Nothobranchius furzeri: one gene and its partner. The protein of the gene in region 1 interacts with the protein of each later gene in a pairwise test. Links are inferred from orthologs where the notes say so. Each region holds a gene or a part of one and is shown on either strand. Other genes may lie near its edges.

Region 1 (4,490 bases):
TCATGGTTATTTGCCAGGTGTGTTCAGGTGAATTATTAATTCATGCAGGTTGAAAGAGTGTGTACAGAGTCAAACACGAGTGTGTGAAATCACCACCACTGCAGAAAGGCAGCACCACGTCAGGTCCATTAGCCTGCTTCAGGACCTCCATCTTCATCCCACACACACATTTGGACTCAAGTGCTTTTTATTCAGAGAATGTTATTCCTGTGACATTTTCAGTTAGTTTGTTGGTCATAGAATTATTAGTTTTTACGTCGATGTGTTTCCCGCAGGGAAAATGTACGTTGAAACCTGTTTTGCCAGGTCCCTGAGAAAACCTCATTTAAACTGAAGAATGCAGGTCAGCACTCACACTCAGTTTAAAGCTTCAGTAAAAATAAAGATGGACATCAGAGCAGTGTGTGATCTGGTTACTGAGATGTAGGTAGTGTTTTTGTTGCCTTTACCTTTTGTACCTGGTGTCCAATTCACCAAACTCTTAAACATCTAATTATATGGATGGGCATCGGCTAGCAAGCATCTTCTCAATCATAGAATGTAAATAAGTCCTTTATAAATGTCTATATAGATGTTTACCTAATATAGAGGACAACACTGCATATTTCTGAAACTGTTAAAGCTGTATTTTTTTGAATGGAAATGATCTTTTTTTTTCACTCACATCAGCCATTAAACATGGATCTGTTAAATCCTGAGTGAAAGCACTAATGAATTTATATATTGAGTAACATTGGGACTCATTTAAATGTATTTGTTTACTTCAAAACACCAGACTTTAAATTACTTTTTCTATTTAAATAGAAGCTATTGCTGCAGATCTGATGAGTGACTACATAATACTCATTTTAAACTCCGCTGAGTAATTAATCTGAACAATTGACTTCTTTTCACCATCTGAGATGAAACAAGTGATCATTAACATTGGTGGCATTTTTCATCATTGCACCAACATTTTTATTTTCATTAATTACAAAAAGCACTTTGTATTTTAATTATTTTTCTTTTCCTCGTGTTTATGAAGTCCTACTAATCCCAAAGACAAGTGAAATTTATAATGCACACCTAAACATACAAATTTGTGTAAACTATAAATACAAGTTATTGAATACACAAATCCTTCCATAAATGCCAGAATTTACAACATGTTTACTCATTGTTTCACTAATAATTACCATAGCTGTTTCATGTAGGGACACTGTCCGCTGCTGCACATCTTAACTTGACATTTTTCCCTATTTTTCATACATTTAGGAGATAATTTGATCAAATTAGTTTTGGTAGTGGGCTTTTTAACTGTGCTTTTTATTTAATTATAAACATTCACACTCCAGACTTGTGTTCTACATTTAGTTTCACACACACACACACACACACACACACACACACACACACACACACACACACGCGGCTTTTTATTCTCAAAAACAATCTCTTCCTATCGAGTAAGGTATTTCTAATCAACAGAAAAGGAAACCAGCCACAAGTAAGATTAATCAGAACTTCAGGAGCGCCTTGTCAGACGTTTCTGCAGATTCAGTTGTCCACCAGAAGGTGGCGGTAATACAACCCACTAGAATGGATAAACACCAATGAAGAAGTCAGACGGCTAATAGCGTAGTGGGTAAAATAGGCTAGCACATCCATAACTGAAAGATAATGATTAAAAATATAAACAATCAACATGGATAAAAAGAAGAAAACATTGGACGTAGCTGCGTCATCGGTGAGTTTCCTGATTTAAGGATTTATAAACTTATGTGTGATTTTCATCCAAAAAAAAAATAAACAAAACGATTAACTGGCTAGTGTTTACTGCGAAAATGTTGCTAGCTACGACGATTTACAGCTGGTACAATATGCATAGGGAAAAATAAACACCCACATAACTTCATTACTTTTGTTTATTACAGTTAGTAGATCTGAAAGCGGAGCTCTACAGAAAACAGGAGCAGTTCAAACGGGAGAAACTTGGCCAAGAAAGCTCTGATGCTGGACACCGAGCTAAATCCACAGCCAATAAGGTACAGTTTTAGGTTTTACTGTAGAGGACGTTTAAGTGACATGGAAAGGTTTATAAGTCTCAGTCCTTTTTTTTACCCTGACAGAAACCAAATATCTGGAGCAAACAAAATGCTGGCGTGTCAGCAAGAGCTGCGAAAGACGCAGAGCAGCTGACAGAGGAGCAGATCAGCCTCGACACAGCCAGGTGAGTTCAGAGTCACAGCCAGGATATTCAGCAGATCTAAACTTATGACTGATCCTATCTGTCTCACAACAGGCGCAAGTTGGAGGAGAAGGCCAGACTCTATGATCAGATGACTAAAGGAGACTTTCCAGGTTGGTGGAGTTAATCTCCTTTATATTTATATGAGCAAGTTCCACTTGCAATGTGTGAATCATGTGTTTTTAATCTCCAGATGAAGAGACAGAAGCCCTTTACCTTGTTGACTTCACCCAGAAGATTATTGACAAACAAAAAGAAACATTTGCACCGAAGAAGAGGGAGCAAGAAGATGAGGAAAGAGAGAGCCTGTCCCCTATTCCTCCTCCTCAGAACCCAGATGAGGAATGGTAATAGATTAAATTCATGAGTTTACTTTGGACACAACAAACTGATCAAATAAATTCTATTGATTAACTTAGCGTCATGTCAGCAAGGTTAATGATGTTTAAACTGAAAGTCTTGCATTCCAGATAAACCTGATGTTTCTCTGTAGGGTTGATTTTGTGGACGCTTTGGGACGATCTCGAAGATGCATGAAGAAAGACCTGCCCAGTTTTCAGAAACTGGACCAAGACATTAAAGGAACAGGGTAAACATTTCAGTAAATCAGAAATTTCTGCAGCTGTTTCTGTTTTTACAGTATTTCACTGGATGTTAGTTTAAAATACTCTGAAATGACCCAACCTAAAGGAATCTAAGTTGTTGGTAAACTGAAGTGTATAAAAATCACTTATCCATAATGTAAATAAAAAGCCCTGATCAGATAAAAGAGGAAAAGGTTATTTTCTCCAGTTGTTGTACTTGCTTAACTTTTTTTTGGTAAAACAACATGTCAAGTTGGAGCGAGTGTTAATAAAAAACATCAGTTTACGACTTTTATTCAGCCTTTTCCATATAGTTTTAGATTTTGTCTTTTAAATGTCTTTAACAGGATAAAACACATTCTTATGACTGTTTCCTGTAGAGCGATCACTTCTGAGAACACCTTACTCTCCGAGGACATGCGCAGAGAGCTGCAGAGGCGGGAGTGGGAGAGGGAGGAAGAGGAGGCAATGAAGAGGCCCGTTGGACCTGTTCACTACGAGAATATTAGAGCACAAGGTCAGTATCTGATGGGATCAGATCAAAACGTTTTGAAGCCTTTATTTTTGTCAGAAACAAGAGTCTTTCTCCCTCCATTTTAGAGGCCCGTGACCTTGGTGTGGGCTACTTTGCCTTCGCCCATGATGAAGAGCAGCGCAGAAAGCAGAGGGAAACTCTGGACATGCTCAGAGACCAGGTGTGTGTTGGTGTTGAACTCATTCACTGCCAGCCGTTTCCTGATCACTAACGGCCTTCGCTGCCAGCGTTTCTCACCATTTTTACTGTTTTTTTTTTTTAAGAGTCACAGAACGTTGCACGCTAGCATGATGTCGATGCCAAAACAACCAAAACAAAGCGGAGACTCTCCTCTTACATCAGGAAGAATCCGCGTGTTTTCAGCGTTATCCGTTCTTTCATAATCCGTTGTCGAATTGTGATCGGCAGACGCTTTTCCGGTTCGCGCCTCACTTTTTTTACAGGAACGGCCCAAAACGATCTCCAAACACATGGATGTGTTGCTTCCTGATCACGTGACGTGATCGGCTTCAGGGCTGAGATGTTTGTTCTCTCAGCGCGGGGGCTCGTTCTGATTCTCAAACAGTAAAAAAATGCAAATGACGACTTTAGTCGTCATTGGCAGTGAATGAGTTAATAGCAACAGGAAACTTGATTAGATGGTATGTAAGAAAAGGTTACAAAATGAGCAAAGTGTTTTGGTTTGTAAAGTTCTTAAATTCAGAAACAACCTTTTTTCTTATTGTTCTTCATAAACTGGACCAGACTTCAAATGCTTGTCGAGGTTTTCTCTACTGCCATAATTATTGTACACTTCTCAAAACCAATGCATTAAGTAATCCTAAATTAGGTGAATAATTCCTCTCTTCCTTCCCTCCCTTCAGACCACAGAGCAGCGGACTAAGAGAGAACGACTCAAGGACAAGAGGAAGGCCATCCTTCAGGCTCGACTAGCCAAGGTGAGGCAGAGGAAGAAGAAAAAGGGAAAGCTGGATGGCACTGAGGAGGACGAGAACGAGAAGGAAGAGGAGAATCCAGGTAAGCATCCACATCCAGTTCATCTGCTGTTGAGGTCAGATTTAGTGCTGCAGGTTCATGATCAAGAGTTGTTGGTGAAAACTGGTTCTGTGTTTCAGGAGAGGATGAAGAGGACGAAGCTGTCGGA
Region 2 (3,822 bases), on another chromosome or scaffold:
AACGTTAGCTTGCCTTGCGTTGACTGTAGAGTTGTGGGTGATGGTCACGCAGATGTGTCATGAGATTTGAAGCGTTGCTGCCTTTCACAGACACTTTTTCTGCACGTGCTGCAAACAGGATAGCCGTCTTCCATAAACTCCCTCGGCATTCTTCAAATATCTAAAATATGCCCGTACTTCCGACTTTGTCTTCTTTGAGGGATAATAAATGTCCTCCTGAGCGCTGCCGTCTCCTCCTTTGACCATTATTTCAGCTTTAGCTTCAAGAAAGTTTCTTTGTAAACAAAGCGTGCGTCTGTGCCGCCGGCAACTTCAGCCGATGATACGGTGGCTGGTAAGGGTCACCGCGCCTACACCGCAGCCACGGTAAACCCATTGAGATAATAATAGTTTTTTTTAAAAACAAGACTGTTATTATTATTGTCAACCTTTTTTTTTTACCGGGGTTTACCGCTACACTGGTTACCGTGACAACTCTACCTGATCGGATTGCTTTGATCTATTTTGAAAATTCCGATCAAAACCGATAGGGGCGCTATCGGCCAATTACGATCAAATACCGATCCATCGGTGCATCCCTATCAGAAGTTCATTTAGACCCGGTCCGATCAGAACTGGGCACCTCATTGCGTCATGACCATGTGATCTGTTTTGCTGAATTGCTCCTGGCTGATTGGTCGATGATGTCAGAGTTGATATCTGACCGCTTGTCTCTTCGCAGATATGATTCGGCGCCGGAGTCTGAGAACCCGGGCCATCAAGATGCTGGTTCTGGATGAAGCAGATGAGATGCTGAACAAAGGTGAGGCTGAGCAGGTGGACCGCCTGGATGGACTTGGATCCACCTGGTGCTGGTCGCCAGGAGTCCCTCAGCACGTGTCCGTTTGTGCCTTTCAGGCTTCAAGGAGCAGATTTACGACGTGTACCGGTACCTGCCCCCGGCCACACAGGTGGTCCTGATCAGCGCCACGCTGCCGCACGAGATTCTGGAGATGACCAACAAGTTCATGACTGACCCGATCCGCATTCTGGTCAAACGGTGAGTCAAGAAACTCGTCGGGTCCAGGAGTTGGTTCAGAATGGAGCCGACGTTGGTAAAGTCCGCTGTCCTTCCCCCAGTGATGAGCTGACCCTGGAGGGCATCAAGCAGTTCTTTGTTGCCGTGGAGAGGGAGGAATGGAAGTTTGATACTCTGTGTGACCTCTACGACACGCTGACCATCACTCAGGCCGTCATCTTCTGTAACACCAAGAGAAAGGTCAGAACCCACACAGGTCCTTGTCCGATGATCTGATCTGGTTTTGCTGTTGCGCTAGTCCAGTTATTCCCAACCAGGGGTAAACGTACCCCTAGTGGTACGCGAGCGCGTTACGGGGGGATGTGGAATTATTCATATTTAATTTCCCAGATGATGCATCATCCCATGTTGGCTGTGCCCTGGTTAAAAACACCAGGCTGGGATGTGTTATGCTTCGTGAATACGCAGATGTAGTAAGCTTTGGGTTTTTAAGGAGTCTGATGTTGAACAGAAAACCTCTTCAATAAAATATTCTTGTTGACAATAAAGTCTTATCGCATTGACAGCTCTTAACGCTAATTTCTTTAAAGGAGACATAACATGCTTTTAATTTATTCCTTTTTACATCTAAATCCTTCAGTTGGGGTCTAAATACAGTCGAGCTGCAGTACTTTGGTCTGATTTCCTCATCGTTGCTCCACAGACCCTCATCTACCCGTTCTGAGGAGAGTCTTGAGAACGAGCCGTTTTTGGGTACTGTCTCTTTAAATCTGGAGAAGGAGCTGTAAGCTCCGCCCCCCCTCCACAGTGCAGACCTGTACTCTCCTCCCCCAGTTGGACTTTGTAGTTCTATAGAGAAATCATTATTTAGCATAGCAGAAACATTATATTAGCATTTTTAAAACATGTGGGGAGAGTTGTTCATCAGGCTGTTTCAAGGCTGCTAACTCTCTCATGCATTTGTCTGTAGTCTCACACACACACACACACACACACACACACACACACACACACACACACACACACACACACACCCGTCACAGCCGACTGAGGGACAAGCGAGCAGGCGCGTGCACACACACACACACTACTTTTTTCTTCTGTTTTTATGTATTTATTTATTTTATTTTTTATTTTTTTGCAGTAGTGTCATCAGCTTCTGGGTTTTAAGTGCTGCCACACAACCCTTCCTTAAAACGAGGAACAGTTCTGAGCTGTGTGGCCAAAATAACCAGACATTCTGCATTTTTCCAATAGGACTACAAAAATCTTGGCGAGAAGAAAAAATGGCGGATTGGCTCTGTGTTTAGCTGAGGGCCATGACCATATTTGGTAGTTATCATGACGGCATAATTTTCTGACGTAATAGGTAATTTGAAAAACTGAACGGGTGGACAAATATGCCCAAAACTTAATTATTAAATATCTAAATAGCAACTCTAGTGAATAATATAAGCCTTTTTGCTCACTTAGACACTTAAAATGTGAAACACACCGTGTTAATGGATAAAAGTGAGTTTTTCATGTTATGTCTCCTTTAAATGCCGTTCGTTTATTAACACATGATGAACACAGACTTCCAAACCTTCTGCCAATCCTGTGATTTAGTTTCAACTAGAGGCTGACCGATATGGGCTTTTTAAGGCCGATACCGATTTTTAAAGGATTTCGTTGCCGGTGGCCGATATCTAAATCTAATTATTAAGACCGATACAAATATACCTTTTAGCAGCACATTGTGTAATACCAATGCCCCATACACCGGCACTACTGGTTACTGCTGCGGGTGGTGGTCTTTACGTGTGTTTAAAAGAATTGCAGCTTGTGTTTATTTCTGATGATGTTTATTATTTGTCTTCTTGTTCCAAAATGTCCATGATCCGTTCACAGCAGTTGAAGGGTTTCAAATGAATGCGTTACTTGCTCCAGTGACAGTCCGCAGAGCCCGTTACACACAGCCACAGTCCTCGCCACACAGTAAAACACTGTTTGTCCCATCACAGCAACACCTGAGTCTCATCTGTGTTGGCTTAAGTAGGCTGGTGCTTCCACAATCAATCGACCAATCAAATGAGGCCAAGCCTCCTCTCAGGTATGCAGAAAGAAAATGAAAACAACACAAATGGCTCCTACACGTTGATTGTGAAAGACAACCAAACACTCACTGTGTGCAAAATAAATTAAATAAGTCAATAAATCTCTTCAAATGTAAAACAAAATCAAAACATTAAAAAAAACTGTGTTGGGGTTCTTCGGGTCCTTTCTTAGTCTAGTAGCGGCAGCAGCTGGCCACACAGGTGCCAGATTATTATTTTTTATCGGCTTTTAAAAATAATTTTGACCAGTGGCCGATATAGAAAAACTGTTATTTATCTGCCCGACTGTGATCCGTGCCTTTGGTACCTGCAGGCTGGATTATCACAACTCGCTATATGCGGGGCTTAGGCAAGCGCCAATAGCACGCCTCCAGGCGGCTCAGAACTCGGCTGCTCGGTTGTTAACATCTACCAGGAGGTCTGAACATATTACACCAGTCCCACGTGCCTTGCATCGGCTCCCTGTCTCCTATCGCATCAGGTTTAATGTCTTCCTGTTTGTGTTTAAGGCGTTAAACTCAGGGGCACCTAAACACCTTTGTGACGTCATCCACCGACATGTCCCGGTGCGTTCCCCTAGGTCAGCTGACCAGAGACTATTAACCGTGCCCAGGTACAGCCTGAAGTCTCGTGGGAGTCGTGCCTTTTCAGCGCTCGGACCAAGTCTGTGGAACGAGCTGCCAGCCGACGTAAAGCAGGCCAAATCAC

What was found.
Region 2: the proteins of ccdc174 (region 1) and eif4a3 interact in binary tests that used the Homo sapiens proteins (3 or more experiments, as listed by UniProt). The two-hybrid records come from large-scale screens. The link is inferred for Nothobranchius furzeri from reciprocal best matches to the Homo sapiens genes CCDC174 and EIF4A3.

What each region holds. Positions count from the first base shown.
Region 1 is NC_091743.1:48,526,873-48,531,362, reverse strand, and holds the start of ccdc174 (coiled-coil domain-containing protein 174), read left to right. Parts: upstream 1-1,581; 5' UTR 1,582-1,684; coding exon 1,685-1,726; intron 1,727-1,913; coding exon 1,914-2,024; intron 2,025-2,108; coding exon 2,109-2,209; intron 2,210-2,281; coding exon 2,282-2,340; intron 2,341-2,420; coding exon 2,421-2,574; intron 2,575-2,720; coding exon 2,721-2,816; intron 2,817-3,191; coding exon 3,192-3,328; intron 3,329-3,411; coding exon 3,412-3,506; intron 3,507-4,209; coding exon 4,210-4,363; intron 4,364-4,461; coding exon 4,462-4,490. UniProt on the Homo sapiens protein: Probably involved in neuronal development.
Region 2 is NC_091746.1:29,295,336-29,299,157, reverse strand, and holds part of eif4a3 (eukaryotic initiation factor 4A-III), read left to right. Parts: intron 1-721; coding exon 722-802; intron 803-897; coding exon 898-1,039; intron 1,040-1,119; coding exon 1,120-1,258; intron 1,259-3,822. UniProt on the Homo sapiens protein: ATP-dependent RNA helicase. Involved in pre-mRNA splicing as component of the spliceosome. Core component of the splicing-dependent multiprotein exon junction complex (EJC) deposited at splice junctions on mRNAs.